Drosophila melanogaster: one gene and its partners. The gene in region 3 interacts genetically with the main gene of each other region. Each region holds a gene or a part of one and is shown on either strand. Other genes may lie near its edges.

What was found. Genes that interact genetically often act in the same process or in processes that back each other up.
Region 1: of sicily (region 3) and NLaz, changing one suppresses a phenotype caused by changing the other (phenotypic suppression), as found in Drosophila melanogaster (one study listed by BioGRID).
Region 2: of sicily (region 3) and out, changing one suppresses a phenotype caused by changing the other (phenotypic suppression), as found in Drosophila melanogaster (one study listed by BioGRID).

Annotation. Positions count from the first base shown.
Region 1 is NT_033779.5:1,359,008-1,364,086, reverse strand, and holds NLaz (neural lazarillo), read left to right. Parts: upstream 1-2,265; 5' UTR 2,266-2,429; coding exon 2,430-2,446; intron 2,447-2,508; coding exon 2,509-2,629; intron 2,630-3,160; coding exon 3,161-3,291; intron 3,292-3,350; coding exon 3,351-3,430; intron 3,431-3,496; coding exon 3,497-3,595; intron 3,596-3,713; coding exon 3,714-3,940; coding exon of another isoform or gene 3,941-4,003; 3' UTR 4,004-4,250; downstream 4,251-5,079. Other genes in the region: CG31659 (uncharacterized protein), read left to right, coding at 4,304-4,326, 4,390-4,620, 4,670-4,755, 4,817-4,915, 4,977-5,079.
Region 2 is NC_004354.4:19,318,778-19,324,691, forward strand, and holds the start of out (outsiders), read right to left. Parts: upstream 3,330-5,914; 5' UTR 2,879-3,329; intron 1-2,878.
Region 3 is NC_004354.4:11,888,941-11,894,245, reverse strand, and holds sicily (severe impairment of CI with lengthened youth), read right to left. Parts: upstream 2,515-5,305; 5' UTR 2,209-2,514; coding exon 2,027-2,208; intron 1,958-2,026; coding exon 1,843-1,957; intron 1,517-1,842; coding exon 891-1,516; intron 657-890; coding exon 575-656; 3' UTR 501-574; downstream 1-500. Other genes in the region: CG1840 (uncharacterized protein), read right to left, coding at 5,278-5,305. UniProt on the Drosophila melanogaster protein: Involved in the assembly of mitochondrial NADH:ubiquinone oxidoreductase complex (Complex I) at early stages. Interacts with cytosolic Hsp90 to chaperone the Complex I subunit ND-42 in the cytoplasm.

The DNA.
Region 1 (5,079 bases), on a different chromosome or scaffold from region 3:
GTTTAGTGTAATCCCCCCGGGGGAATGGGACTCGGGACTCCTTTTTTATGTCAACTGTTGATTGCAGCAGTGCACAGCTCCGAAAGGATATCAAAACGCAGCTGAACTGCAGCAATAATCAAAATTAATTCAATTTCGGCGGCTGGCTTTAAAGGTAGCCACTTAATTAAATGGCCACACGCGTGCTCCATATGTACATCCCCATATCCTGTGGCACTGAACTGATTTTCATGCATCTGGCAAAAATCTGCTTAAATCAAATTACATTCAACAAAATGCCCATAAAGCGAATGAATAACCACAAAATATTCGAGCACTTAAAATGGCAAAGTGATTGAATTGTGGGCAGGGTTTTTCGAGAAGCGAACGTGACACGATCCAGTTTTTAAAACCATTATGTTAATGGAACCGCTATATTTTTTCAAAACTGGGACTTCATTTGTGTTTACTCATTAAAGATACGTTCACTCTTATCCAAGTTCGTTTCGAATATTGTGTTTTGATGCTTAGCTCTACGTTTTTTTGGTATTATGGAGACTTTAGTAAAGTATATTACCCTATAGTAATTGAAAGGCATATTTGTGTTCACGCACTCATCTCCAATTGTCAATGCACCATAAACCGCACAAATGCACCACAGTGACAGGTTACAATGGGGACCAAGCTGGGGAAATATTAAACATTGACCTGAAAGTTTATTTAAGCACAATTTCATGACATTAAAGGTAGCTAGCTGAAGATGCTTAACCCCGCTGTACTACTATTGGCATACGCCCATGGCTGCACCTTCCGAAAACTGCACTTATGCCCTGTAATAACCAGCTCTCATCTGTCCTCTCCCAGCTGCAGGCTTACGATTTCCTTTGATCAAATTATCCCTGAAACCCCACTCCGCCGGCAGCCCTCAAGGATTGCACCTGTTTTTAAGCTCAGATGTCCGGCAAATGCGTACATATTTTAAATTTAATTACTACACGCTGCATGCAGCAAACAGTGGCAGCCACAGCAAATCCGAGCCAGGACATCCATCCATCCATCCAAATGGGGCAAGCACAATCCTTTCGGTGGGGCAATGCGCTATGAACTCCCTTGCCCGAATAGTTGGCTGGCCATTCAAAATCTGCGCTAGCCGCACATGGATAAAAATATGAGTGCACCATGCGAGGGTGGATCGAAGCCATTTGTCATATAATAAGAAGAAAAAGGACCAAGAAAAGGATTTGATGTATCGTTTGTTTTGTTTTCATTACAGGATATTTTTTGATCATGGGCCATATGATTTCTTTACAACTAATGACGCCTTCCTTACTTACCAATCCACTCCTGTCGAAACATATATCACCTGAAATGCCTCTCCCTGCCCCTAAAAACCCCTTCGTGCACACAGACGCTTCAGCGTTCGTCCTGCGGGCATTTTTGCACATGTAACTCAATTTGTGGTTTACATTTAATTAATTTAATAATATATGGGGAAATTAAATTCTCTTCCTTCCCAGCTGCAAAGAGAAAAACCGCAGAAATCTCGCCACTGTCAACAATTCATCTGACCAGTCCGAGAACGAGCTGAAGAAGGATACGAGCTGAAGGAACCTCAAAATATGCGAACATTTGTAGTTATATCGAGCAACGCCGGCAAAGCGCTCAACAGATGGCGCTGGCAGAAGTGCGAAGAGATGGCGCCACAAACGGAATCCACATGAAGGGAAAAGCTCTCCTGTGGGTGGATGCTAAGAAATACCATTTATTTATTTAAATATTGCAGTGGTACCAAATTTAAAATATTTTAGTAAAATCAGTGTAGCAGAAATACATTTTTATTATAGTGTCATAAAACTTGTAATACTTGGAAGTAATTGAATATGCAAAGGTATTAATATAAATAATTATATAAATGGTTAAGATGTAACTTAAATTAAAGGTGTCTGATTAATACGTATGCAATAACTGAAATAGTCATTCTGATTTGCGAACTGAATAATTCATTTCTGCTTACTCACTATTCAATTTCACTTTGCCATATCAGGGCATTGAACCTACTAAGTTGCGATCTCTCTTAATTAATTGACCCCCGTAATTGCAGTGCAAATTGTTCCGCTTTGCATGCGGAAGCCCTTATCGAAAGCGAATTATCGCGATGTGCATACAGAAATTAAGTGAGTTGTATTGGGATTGTTTTCCATAGCTGCCTCCTAGCGATTGTAACAAGAGCAATATGTTCTGATTCTGCAATCAGATCGTCTGCATTTCACTTTGTTCACATGGGCAATCCGATTCGGCGCACTCGAAAAGCTCGCTCGCGAAAAGCAAAGCTCTCGCATCCAGCGTATAAAAGATACAATGCAGATGCAGTCGAACCTCAGTTCTAAGCCAGAAGTAGAACGGATACCAAGTTCAGTGGATAGCGACCGTATCTCCCAGTATATTCCAGAATGAATCATCACTCGAGGTAAGCGCCACTCGCTGAGCACTAGCTCCAAGTTATTTACATTTCATTAATCATCCCCACAGTTCGCACCTGTTGCTGCTTATCTCCGTGGTATTTGGGGCAGTATGGGTGGCCCATGCCCAGGTGCCATTTCCTGGCAAGTGCCCAGATGTTAAGCTACTGGACACCTTCGACGCGGAAGCGGTGAGTTCTGACCTTAGGCCAACCATCTCGCATCGCATGTTAATCATGTCATTCTGATAGATTTAGAATAGGAAAGTCTAAACGATCAGTTGCAAGCGAACATGCCAATAAAGGCACTTCAAAGTCTCAATAGTTATGAACTAAAATTTAAATATAAGGGTATATATCGAATTAAGCGATATTAGTAAAACTTCACATGGTTTACCAATTGGGGAAATTCGATCTTCAAATTTAAAATTTCGTTAGTTTTGCAAAATTGATAGATAGCGAAAACTATAATGATAAGATAAGCAAATTGCTTTCATATTAATAAAGTGCACTGTTCTTACAGCTTTCTAGGTAAATATTTGTATTTGGTATTTTTTTAATTATCGGACCTTACTTATCTAATGTAGCTATAATTATTTCCACAGTTTTAAATAACAAGTAAACACTTCGTGCTGTAGTTTGTATTACTTATTATATGACCATCTGCTTAAACGTAATATTCTTACATTGTATTTATTACTATTATTATTTCGAATACTTCAGTATATGGGCGTCTGGTACGAGTACGCAGCCTATCCATTTGCTTTCGAGATCGGCAAGAAGTGCATCTACGCCAACTACAGTCTCATAGACAACAGCACTGTTTCGGTGGTGAATGCGGCCATCAATCGATTGTGAGTATCAAGTAGTATAATCTGAAACACTCCATTTAATCAAAAAATCGATGAAAAAGCACCGGACAACCCTCGAATGTAACTGGACAGGCCAAGGTCCTTGGACCCGGTCAATTGGCCGTGGCCTTTTACCCGACGCGTGAGTAATGCCAATTTTAGGTGGTCTCTTTAACAAACATTTTTTTGCTTATCCAATACATTTTAGAGCCATTGACGAAGGCCAACTACCTGGTTTTGGGCACAGATTACGAGTCATACGCCGTCGTCTACAGCTGCACCAGTGTAACACCTTTGGCCAATTTCAGTGAGTTAATGGGGTGTCTAGTCAGCTTGTCAGCATATTCATATGCGAACTGTGTCACTAAACTAAAATGGAGTGACAAGCACTTACGCCAGAATGATAATTATAATTTTAATTGCAGAAATTGTTTGGATCTTGACTCGTCAGCGTGAACCTTCAGCGGAAGCGGTTGATGCGGCCAGAAAGATCTTGGAAGACAACGATGTATCCCAGGCCTTCCTCATCGATACTGTTCAGAAGAACTGTCCCCGGTTGGATGGTAATGGCACTGGGCTGGCCGGAGAGGATGGCCTCGATGTGGATGACTTCGTGTCTACCACGGTGCCAAATGCCATTGAAAAGGCATGAGAATGGCTCCGACGCCTCTACGAGCGTCTCTACGACATTTTTATGAACTTCCTAAGTTACTAAGTGTCATGTTATCACAGAGGTCGTATTTCAGATGCTAAATGTTCTTTGGTGCTTCAATTTAAGTTTGTTGTTATTGCGAGGAATAAATAAATAGAAAACCGATCATGTAAAGACTTTATACAACTGAGAGATGTACACGATCAAGTGACTCAATGGAACGGTTCCGCTTTTGTTTTAAACGCTGTGCGAAACTCTTGTGCTCCGCAAAATCTTGATTATTTTTCATTAAACCGTATCCAGTGGATTCAAATAAACCAGACTAAATGATTCAGTTTGCAGTTTTACTCAAACCGTTCCAGCATGATCAAGTGGAAGATCTTCGTGTGAGTGCAGCCTCTGAATATCAGCTATATGAATATTGAATACCCTACATAATTCTTCGAAAGCCCTGCAATCCTATATCTTCAATCCTCCATGGCCATGCGGGCCTTTCACGGAGCCTGTCCCTCCAATATGACGGCTGTTGGGGATTTGGACATGGACCGATTCAAAGGAAAGTGGTACACCCACTCGATATATCCTCATCTCTCGTTGCGAGTGGAGAAATGTCAGTCGACGGATTTCATAGAGAAGGAAGAGAATAAATTCAGCGTTGTGGCCCGGGAACTGAACACCCAGTGAGTGATTTTAAATATTTTGAAACAACTCTATAAGCCATATTTACAGAACTGGTACTGTAAAGATGAGAAAGGCAGACATACTGAACGTGGAGCCAGAATTTGGGCGGTATGTTTTGGGCACAACAAGTACGGGTAAATTATGGTGGAATTAGTTAAACCAATTAAAGCGAGTTATTAACGTATTTTATTGCAGCATTTCCTGAGGGCGTTCTCATGTACGTTCTGGATACCGATTATGTGAACTTCGCCATTCGATTTATGTGCTTTGATGCCAGCAAAATATTCAGCTTTCGTGAGTGCAGTGCTGTGAATAATAAATACTTTCCCCTAATACGATTCCATTGATCCCATAGATTGGGCTGTCATCCAGACCCGAAAACGATTGCCCAGTACTCAGGTTATTCATATGGCTCAGTACTTTGGAAAAAGTGCCGGCCTTGTTATAGGTGACATGAG
Region 2 (5,914 bases), 7.4 Mb from region 3:
AACCAAAACTGAAGTTGGACTGTGGCTTAGAGACGTTTTTTCGGCTTTGTTCTGCAGGTTCGGACGATGTTGGTTGGTCGGCCATGGTTAGGAGCTCAATGGGGATGCTGGTTGGCATGGCAGCGGGCGTCATGCTCGCTTTCAATAGGGACTAGAAATGGCTATTAATACTCCAGCGGGCCTGGACAAAGTTATCATTCATGTGCTGGCTGCCAGCACTCAATTGCATCGGAGATTATGAGCAACGTGTTTGGTGTTTGCTATTTTAAGGCGCATTTCGAATGATTGTTATTGCCCGAAGGCCTGAAGGCCTGAAGGCCCCTCACCCGGCCACAAAATAATCCCAACACCCGGCACATTCTCACATGTGTGTTTTGTGTGTTCTCTGCGATTCTCGAAGTGAAAATGGTATAGTAGGGATTTGGGTTAGGGAATGGGAAATGGAAATAGGAGTGGGTAGCCCAATGGAATAGGAATACGAACGGGAATGGGAATGGGAATGTCAATCTCCGGCGCAATCCCCATACCATGTCCATGTCGCTTTCCTATGCAAAGCGTTTAATGCACATTTCAGACCATTTCTAGGCACTTCTCCCCTCCTCTCCTCTCGACCCTGCTCTTCACTTCACTTCTTTTATTTTATTATATTTTTTGTTTAATTTTGTTTTTTGTTTTCGATCTTGTGTGTTGTTCGAGTCTCTGATTTTTGTGCTCAGCCAAATAAACTCACGTACTTCAAGCCGACTCCCACCAAGTGGTGCCTTCCGTGAACTGAAGTGGTGGCCCGAGAGGAGTGCACTGCGGTGCACTGGAGAAACCCAAAACCAATCCCAGAAATTCTCTTGGGCAAACTGGCCAATGGTTCCAGTTTCAGTCCCCAAATGCTAATGCCACTTGGGTGTGCTGTCAAACAAGACAAGTGGCTGACACACGATCTACGCGGAGGAGGCGGAGTTGGGTTCAACTAAGATAAAAAATGACAATTCAATAATGAAAATGCATGGTTATAAGCAAAATGCTTATCTACATAAATTATTGATTGGCTTTGTTTTTGGCGGCAAGAAATTAGTGCACACCTGAATGTTGATAAATAAAACTATTGATATAATATCATATCATAATCATATTGCTTTGTTAATTCCCCATTTTTTTTTTTCTGAATATTCATTGTGAAGTGTCAGAAGGCAAAATAACACTTCTAAGTTTTTCATTGAAAAACCCCTCTAACTATCTACGAGTATCTGACATATAACAGTCTGCCTTTTTTTTAGGCTTATCACCCCTTGAGATTCTGGACTTATGTACAGACCTTTGCACCGCCTCCTTGTCCATTGCAAATTTGCGAAAGGTGGATAGACCATTATACATCATCATCATCATCGCACAAACACGTAAGCAGTAGGCTTAGAACTGTTGATTCAATTGAGAATCAAACTAAATGCGAAATTTACCATCAATTTTCCAGATGAATGCGCACGAATGTGCTTCCATATGAAGGCCAAAATGTGGGGGCGCACAGGTGATTCCATTGTTTACCCCATTGCGAAATGCAACAGGTTATCTGGTGGGGAGTTAAGTCGGAATTTCAGACAGAGCATTTCACTTCTGAGCCGATTGCAAATACTATGGAAACCTTGGCAACCAGCAATGGTTATCAACGGCCAACAATATTTGGTTGCTCTTGAATGCCTCGGATGCCTTTTAATCAAATAATCGGTCAATTATAATCCAGGACTCTAGTTAAATCGGTATGTTTTCATAATTAAGCGCTTATGTTTGCTTATGCATTCATGCTCATTTTGGTGCACACCAAAGGATTTACAAAGTATTTTTTACCATAAAGTTGCAAAAAGCAGTAGTGATTACAAAACAGATTATAGATTATGTGCCTATATATATATATATATAGAATACACATTTATAAGTTGAACATGTACATATTCAATGCAGCACTTACATATTGAAATGTGACTTGCAGTGTGGGAAAAATACAGTCTCCTTGATTCAGAATATGCAATTTGGTGCTGTTAAAGCTTTCGATTACTTTCTACAATTAACCTAATTTACTGGTCCACCCTAATGGCGGCGCCATAAATGCATTCCCGCTCTCGAAAACGTGGACTCCTTCCATTCCGGCTTCGGCACCCGGACACACGGATTTCCAGATTCAGGACAGCACCTGAGGCCTGTCAGGCGGCGGGGTGGCGGTGGCTTTGAGGAAGGGGGAAGAGCAAGGCACCAGCACATCATAAAAATGTGTAATTCAATTTGGTAAACATTTTCTGCTCCCCGTCGATGGTTAGATGAAAAAAAAATGCACATGAAAAATGCTGAAACCTTTGGCAAAACTCAATTTGGTTCCGGGATCAGATCAGACTGGGCAGGGGATTATGGTTTGGACTAGACGGATTCCACCCACCATGTGAACTAATCACTTGGCCAGTGGTTATTATGGAAACTTCAGCTAATTCTTAAACTCAATTTGGGTTCTCACACTCTCTCACAGAGAGAGAGAGAGAGAGAAATCCTATAAGGTTTAATTCACGAATTTCCAAATCACACGTTTTTAATGCCTTCTAATTACGGTTTATGCTCAAAAGCAAAGCTTCTGAAAATCCCCTACCCCCAAAACAGTGGGCTACATTTGTCTTGGGCATAGTTTGAAAATTTCACAAAATCTTATTAATCTTCTTAATCTTCTTATATTGAATCACAAATAACAGTCACACATCACGTAAATTAAAAGCATGATTACTTTCTTAAAACGCGTTCCTATCGGTATAGTACATATGTATATTTGCAAATGCAATAAATTCTTGTTCAGTTCTTTTGCCACACTTAACTAACATCTTCACTTGTTGATCGACACGAGACTTACGGTGGTAACTTGTTGCCAATTTGCCTTCGGGTGTGTTGGAAATCACAGGTTAGCCAGATGTCTTGATGATCTGCTAATTCTAGCACTTTTCCCCCTGCGCTGTGTGCAGCACAGAGATTTCAAAAATATATGCACAGTAACAAAAAGAGAGTTCAAATACGACGACGAAACACGACGGATACGGATAACAAACAGCAAGTGCCGCAGAACGGAACAGCGTTAAAAAACAGCGTGTGGCTCAGCTGTTCTCTTCGGACGGCACACAATAATATTTGTACTGCTGCTGCTGCTGCTGCGCTTGGTGTTTCTAACAAACAATAACTCTTTCGTGGTAGCCAACTTCTTCTTTCGCTCCGTGTACGTCCGCTCGTTGGTGTGTTTACTGTTACGCGGCCAGCAGTCGACTTGCTGCTATTCCACTGCTGCGGTCTGCTTTATAGCATTCTCTACGCCAAAGCAAAGCAAAGTCACTGGCAAAGCAAAACGGCGGAACGAGAGCGAGATGGTCGGAGAGAGCTGGCCCGTACACTGAGAGAAATTTGCATTGGGCAAGCAAGAGAGAATGTAAATCTCTTGACCAAGGATCACATTACACATCACATGCTTGGCATGCTAGCAAATTCCCAATTTTATTTATTTTATATAATTACGTTGTTAAGCATAAGCTTATGAATGTTTCGGTTCTGAAATTCGTTAGCTTAAGTCCCTGGTACAAATTTGTAATTAACCGAAATTAATAAAATTTTTTTTTGCTCTGTACCGCCGGCGGAAGGCGGGAAGAGTGTGAACTTCTCTCTTCGTGCGTGGGCAGCGCCAGGATAGACGACGATGCACCGTAAGTGCAGCAGGAATCGCGGCAGAGGATGCAATGCAGCATTTAGCCATCCCAATTAGCAGTTGCCGGGCAATAGCCTTCCCTCTCTCTCCACCTGTCTCTTTCTCTGTCTCTCTGTCTTGGCCTGGGCGACCCCTCTCTATCGCACTCTCACAAGACCGGCTCAACAGTGGGCTGTGATGTGATTTGGCAAATGTGTTTACACCATCATGATGACGACGTAGAACTTGGACTGTTGAATAGATCCGCTCAGAGATCTTATTGCACTGAACAAAAATTCCGTTTCTTTTGACATGTTTTTGTTTAGCTTTGAGCTGAACACGTTTCTAAATTAATAAGAAATATAATAGAAATTATTATGCTTAACTAATTTTGGAAAAAGGCAAAATTATTGGCTCAAATTAATACAAAAATATAATAAGAATAAGAATAATTATCTGCGTTCAGAAATCATCTTATGGGAAAAAAGAGAGAGCTACAAACAGACAGAGAGAGAGAGAGAGACAGAGAGTAAGGGGAAAATAGATCTTTATAGAGCCGCTCTATGGCCGACCAACTGTTGCCACTTGCCGGCCACACAGCAAGTTCAAAGGTCGCAGGCCAGGTAGACAGTAGCCACTAATTGGTTGGTAGACAAATACCCATACACAGAGAACAATTTTGAACTTCGGTGCTGATGAATACAAAAAAATAAAAATGTATGCACAAACATATGCAAATGAATTTATAATTCATACCTGATATCTATTGCATATTTAGGTCCTTTAAAACATAAAAACATTAATGAACTCATGATTAACCAAAGTTAACTGTGTAGCAAAATTTGGTTGGGCTAGATTAAGTATTGAGTCCTCACTCGTAGCAACCCCTAAGAGGTTTTCTAGGGTTAACCACAATTAACGATCGTTTGGTCGCTCGTAAAAAAAAAGAACAATTACGATTTTATCCCTTCCTGTAATATTTTAAGGATTCCGTATATCCTATTTCTCATTTTTACGACGGCAATAAAGTAATTATGTAAACCATTTACCTTAATCCCCATCAATTTAAAGAAAAGAAAATCCAAGCTTTCGATCATTTATCAATTAGTAATGAGCCAGCCATCCTTCATTTGTCAATCCTTGCGGTCCCATCAATAAGTTACCAAGTGCACAGCGAATTAATTAATCTGACTCACGGTTCTATTTCGGTTTCACCGCATTGCTCCACTGTGCACTCTGCCCACTCTCTCTCTCTCTTTCTGGCTCGCCCGCGCTCTCTCACCCAACTCCCACTAGTTCTCCCCACATGAAAACTCCTTAGATACGACGACACAAGTAAGTCGTTTGTTCCGGCGGCAACCTATCGCCCCTGTCACCTTAACCTTGCACTTGGAGAAAGTGTGATGGCCAATGGAATATAGCATTGCTAGTTTTTGTTTTTAATAATTTATTCGGCATTATTAAATAATATAAACGATACATCAACAGTCCATCGGTTCTTGGGTAGATACATAAATAAATTATTATTCCATAGCAGGAGAAGTGGCCCCCTGTTTTCTCGCCGTGTTCTGCCAACTTTTGCACCAACAGGTGTTTGCGGTTTGGCGGGCACTCCACTCGCGTTTCGCTGTTCCGATTGGCAATTGCCACTCTGTTGGCCAAAGCAATTACAATGCTCCAGCCGGAGATAAATGGACAAACAAATCGAGAGCGATTCCCTGCAATTATGACGGAATTAATATGTGCAATAATACATACATACATACATATGTATGTACATTTGTGCATAGGGATATGAATGGAATATACATACATACGTATGTATGTACATACATGTGTGTGCCCGCAGGTAGTACGTGCTTATGGAAATCGAATACATCATCATTTCATTCACTACGATGGCAATGATGATGATGGGGATGGCGATGAGACATCACACCAGCATTGGAAGGCAAAAATTCGCTGTGGGCCATTGACTGGCTAACTTTTGCCAGGTTCTTGATTTTAAACAAATTCAACAAATACCCGTTTCCATTTTTAAGTCTGTATCTCCGCCGTTTGCGTGCTTTTCGTTATTTGTTTTAATTTTCCGTGATGTTTTTATTGCCCATAGTAGACAACAGAAAAACACAAAACAAAAAAAAAAAAATGCTCGTGGAGCGTGCTGATACTTATGATACTTTTGTTTGTGTTCCTGTCTTGGGAACTACCAAAATATTA
Region 3 (5,305 bases):
TCTGGGTTTACAAAGTTCAATCCAGGAGTGCGAAGAAAGCGCGCCAAAAACTCACCATGCCAAAAGTACGCGTAAAGTAGGCGTTGCAATTTTTCCGGAACTAGCAACCGGAAGCCGGAAACGGGCCCAAAAACAAACGGTGCTTATCTTGTTGAGCGATCGTCGCACTGCTCCGTTCTCATTAATATCCAACACACACTTTCCACATCAATTCTAACATTCATAAAAAACTAAAACTGCGCCTGAAACGCTCTGAAATCAGCTAGCAACTACTGTACCAATCGGGTCTTGCATCGTATCCACCGATACCTTCGTCGGGACGAACCTTTGGTGCACCTGTCATCGATAGTAATTACGTCCCGATTCGAAGCGAGATAGCGATATTCCTGCAACCGTTCTTAACCCATTTCATCCAAAAGATCCCCGATCCGATTCATATTCGTATTCTTATAAACATTGGAAATCCTCTTCTATTGATTCGAGAAAAAGTAAGAGCTCTTATTTTAAAGTGATTTTTATTAAAGAAGTCAACAATGAAGAATTTATTTCGTACTACATACTAACATAATCGCTATCAGAACCGATTAAGCAGCGACTTCCAGAATAAACGTGCTGGCAGTAAGGTGTCGCGGCCTACGCAGCTCTTGTGGGTTAGCCTATAAGATGGGAAAATTATTATATTATTATGGGGATTGATAAAAAGAAGGGTCCGCTCCATGAATACTGAACAACCAACAAACTATAGCTAGGTTTTGAAATAAAGAAGTCTCAATAAAGGCAAATCGTACTTATAACTGGATAAAAATAACATCTTAACTACAAAAAGAAGCTGGTTCTCTCCTGTGTTTGTCGTAATATAAAACAAAGCAATATAAAACAAAGGAACTCACAGGAAGTTGGCACGGCGGAGGCGCTCCAAATATGCATCCGTGGCCACGGCGGAGAGGAAGATCTTGCGCACCTGCGGCGGCACCTTATCGTGCAGCTGCCTGGCGAGCTTTAGGTGCGTATTGGCGGCACTGGCCACATCGAATATACAGTCCTCGACACCCTTGTCGTCGCTCTTAGAGCGAATGATGCGCTCCTGGCTGACGCCATGCAGCACCAGCACCTCGAGCGGAATGCAGGGCGCCTGCTGACGTCCTGCCAGCGGTATCGATCGCAGCAGGGTGGCGATGCCTTGGGCCTTGCCCAAGTGGGAGGCGGCATGATCAGCATTTAGGTCACGCACTCCGCCCACCTCCAACAGCAGGAGCAATAGCGAAGAGAAGGTCTGTTCCGTGTACTCCTCCAGCTCGCGTATCGACTCAAATGCATGCGTGGGCGGACGTTCCCGTGCTGTGACCAGACGGCGCAAATATACCTTATTTAGCTTGCGACTGCCCACCGTGTGCTTCAGTTCGCGCAGGACAGGCTGGTCCTCCACGTACGATCTTTGGGAATCCGGCTCAAAGCACTTGTCTATGGAGTCGTGCCAGAACTTAAGGCGCATTTTGGCTATTTGCGGCTCAATTTGCTGCAAGGATATTTGTCATTATATAAACGATTTTACTGGACAGAAATAAGAAGTTTAAAAACTACGAAGTGTTGCTTATTCTACGAATTTCTCTATCCGTTTTAAAGGAAGGAGAGAAATTATACTCTTGCAGTGTACATAAGAAATTAAGAGATTTGTGAAACCGTTCGAAATGGTAATAATATTCATGAGATGCGGACATAAGCCACTTATGCTTACAATAATATTGATGCGGAGTAACAGAGTCTGAACGGAGTCTGAATTTAAGGCGCCACGTTATTCTAACTTAAAAAATAAGCCCCAAGGAATTTCGATGCTCCACTCACATGGCCGCTAACCGATCTGGAGACCTCCACATTGAATGCCCGTAGGGCGAAGGCAGCACGTCGCAGTTCCCGTGGTAGGAGCAAGGTGCACAGGTAGTTCTCGTAGTCGTATTTCCTGGTTATCCGGAATAGATCCATGTTCAATTATACGGATAACTTCAATCGACAAGTTTGCGCTACTTACTCCACTAGACTCATGCAATGTTTGGCCCCGTATCCATTCTTGTCCGCCTCAATCACTTTCTTTTCCCTGGGAATCGCATTGGTCTTGGCCTCCTGGTGAATTCCGGCATGGCTGACAATTTCTTGGCCGGATTTGGCGTTAAATAACAATCGGCAATTCCAATTTCGCACCAGGCGCCGCATCTGTGCTTCTTCTTTCCACCAGACAACTGAACATATGTTCTGAGCGGTGCTGCCAGATCGCACTCGGTCTGTCAGAAAGTTACTACATATGGGGTATTCGCGATTACGCGGAAATTTCATTTGGCGGAAGATTCAAAATGCTGTATGTGACTTGTTGGTAAATTTATAATGCATTATTATAGCTTAGCTTAGGTAGTTTACCATATAAAGCTTAGCTTAGGTATATAAATACATTATCTTCCGTAAATATTGCTTTTTTGCCATGCGTAATCTTCTTGACTTCTTTTCTTTTTGCTGTGAGGCCATTTTTAGACAAGTTATAGCCAAAAAAGCCAACTTGAAAATTGAGTTTTTTGCCAAAAGTAGTTTCCAGATTTTTTGTGAAAAAAATATTCGGTATTTTGATCAAAACATTGAAAATAATGACTCAAATATGGAATGTCATACCTCGTTGAGTTTGTTTTTTAAATCCCAATCGATTTGCATTCAAGTTTGGGAATTCTAGAATTTTTCATTTTTTTGCAAATTTTGATGATGGTACGTACCCCTTACAAAAAATGCGAAAATTTGTCCAAAAATTAATTTTACAAAATCAATTAAAAAGTTAAAGGGATGGTTAGTGTTGATCATAAGGAGTATAAAATGGTAATTCTTTTTGCTGTGAGTCCATTTTTAGTCAAGTTATAGCCACAAAAGCGAACTTAAACATTGAGTTTTTTGCCAAAAATAGTTTCCCAGTTTTCTGTGAAGAAAATAATCGGTATTTTGATCAAAACATTAAAAATAATGACTCAAATATGGAATGTCATACCTCGTTGAGTTTGTTTTTTAAATCCCAATCGATTTGCATTCAAGTTTGGGAATTCTAGGATTTTTCATTTTTTTGCAAATTTTGATGATGGTACCCCTTACAAAAAATGTGAAAATTTGGCCAAAAATTAATTTTACAAAATCCGTTTTAAAGTGATAGGGGTTGTTAGTATTGGTCATAAGGAGTATAAAATGGTAATTCTTTTTGCTCTGTGACCATTTTTAGACAAGTTATAGCCAAAAAAGCCAACTTGAAAATTGAGTTTTTTGCCAAAAGTAGTTTCCAGATTTTTTGTGAAAAAAATATTCGGTATTTTGATCAAAACATTGAAAATAATGACTCAAATATGGAATGTCATACCTCGTTGAGTTTGTTTTTTAAATCCCAATCGATTTGCATTCAAGTTTGGGAATTCTAGAATTTTTCATTTTTTTGCAAATTTTGATGATGGTACCCCTTACAAAAAATGCGAAAATTTGTCCAAAAATTAATTTTACAAAATCCGTTTTAAAGTGATAGGGGTTGTTAGTATTGGTCATAAGGAGTATAAAATGGTAATTATTTTTGCTCTGTGACCATTTTTAGACAAGTTATAGCCAAAAGAGCCAACTTGAAAATTGAGTTTTTTGCCAAAAGTAGTTCCCAGATTTTTTGTGAAAAAAATATTCGGTATTTTGATCAAAACATTGAAAATAATGACTCAAATATGGAATGTCATACCTCGTTGAGTTTGTTTTTTAAATCCCAATCGATTTGCATTCAAGTTTGGGAATTCTAGGATTTTTCATTTTTTTGCAAATTTTGATGATGTTACCCCTTACAAAAAATGTGAAAATTTGGCCAAAAATTAATTTTACAAAATCCGTTTTAAAGTGATAGGGGTTGTTAGTATTGGTCATAAGGAGTATAAAATGGTAATTCTTTTTGCTCTGTGACCATTTTTAGACAAGTTATAGCCAAAAAAGCCAACTTGAAAATTGAGTTTTTTGCCAAAAGTAGTTTCCAGATTTTTTGTGAAAAAAATATTCGGTATTTTGATCAAAACATTGAAAATAATGACTCAAATATGGAAAGTCATACCTCGTTGAGTTTGTTTTTTAAATCCCAATCGATTTGCATTCAAGTTTGGGAATTCTAGAATTTTTCATTTTTTTGCAAATTTTGATGATGGTACCCCTTACAAAAAATGCGAAAATTTGTCCAAAAATTAATTTTACAAAATCCGTTTTAAAGTGATAGGGGTTGTTAGTATTGGTCATAAGGAGTATAAAATGGTAATTATTTTTGCTCTGTGACCATTTTTAGACAAGTTATAGCCAAAAGAGCCAACTTGAAAATTGAGTTTTTTGCCAAAAGTAGTTCCCAGATTTTTTGTGAAAAAAATATTCGGTATTTTGATCAAAACATTGAAAATAATGACTCAAATATGGAATGTCATACCTCGTTGAGTTTGTTTTTTAAATCCCAATCGATTTGCATTCAAGTTTGGGAATTCTAGGATTTTTCATTTTTTTGCAAATTTTGATGATGTTACCCCTTACAAAAAATGTGAAAATTTGGCCAAAAATTAATTTTACAAAATCCGTTTTAAAGTGATAGGGGTTGTTAGTATTGGTCATAAGGAGTATAAAATGGTAATTCTTTTTGCTCTGTGACCATTTTTAGACAAGTTATAGCCAAAAAAGCCAACTTGAAAATTGAGTTTTTTGCCAAAAGTAGTTTCCAGATTTTTTGTGAAAAAAATATTCGGTATTTTGATCAAAACATTGAAAATAATGACTCAAATATGGAATGTCATACATCGTTGAGTTTGTTTTTTAAATTCCAATCGATTTGCATTCAAGTTTGGGAATTCTAGGATTTTTCATTTTTTTGCAAATTTTGATGATGGTACCCCTTACAAAAAATGCGAAAATTTTGGCCAAAAATTAATTTTACAAAATCAATTGAAAAGTGAAAGGGGTGGTTAATTATTGAAAATAGAAATAGAGAAATTGTTGCAAAAATAAGTCAAAAGCATCTGAAAGTACGATTCATTGTAAGTTCGGATATTAAAAAGTTTATTGTTTGTATGATTGTATGTATGTATTGTATTGCATTGTATGTATGATTGCATATTTTGAATTTTCTCAATTAATCAAAATCATTATGACTAAAACATAGCTTTAATATAAACGGTAAACAAAAACCTATCTATTTTAATTGCCGCATCACAGAGGTGAGTTGGATTATTTATTGGAGCATTTTGGTTAAGCAGCTCAGCCGCAGCATCCTCCGGCATTGCAG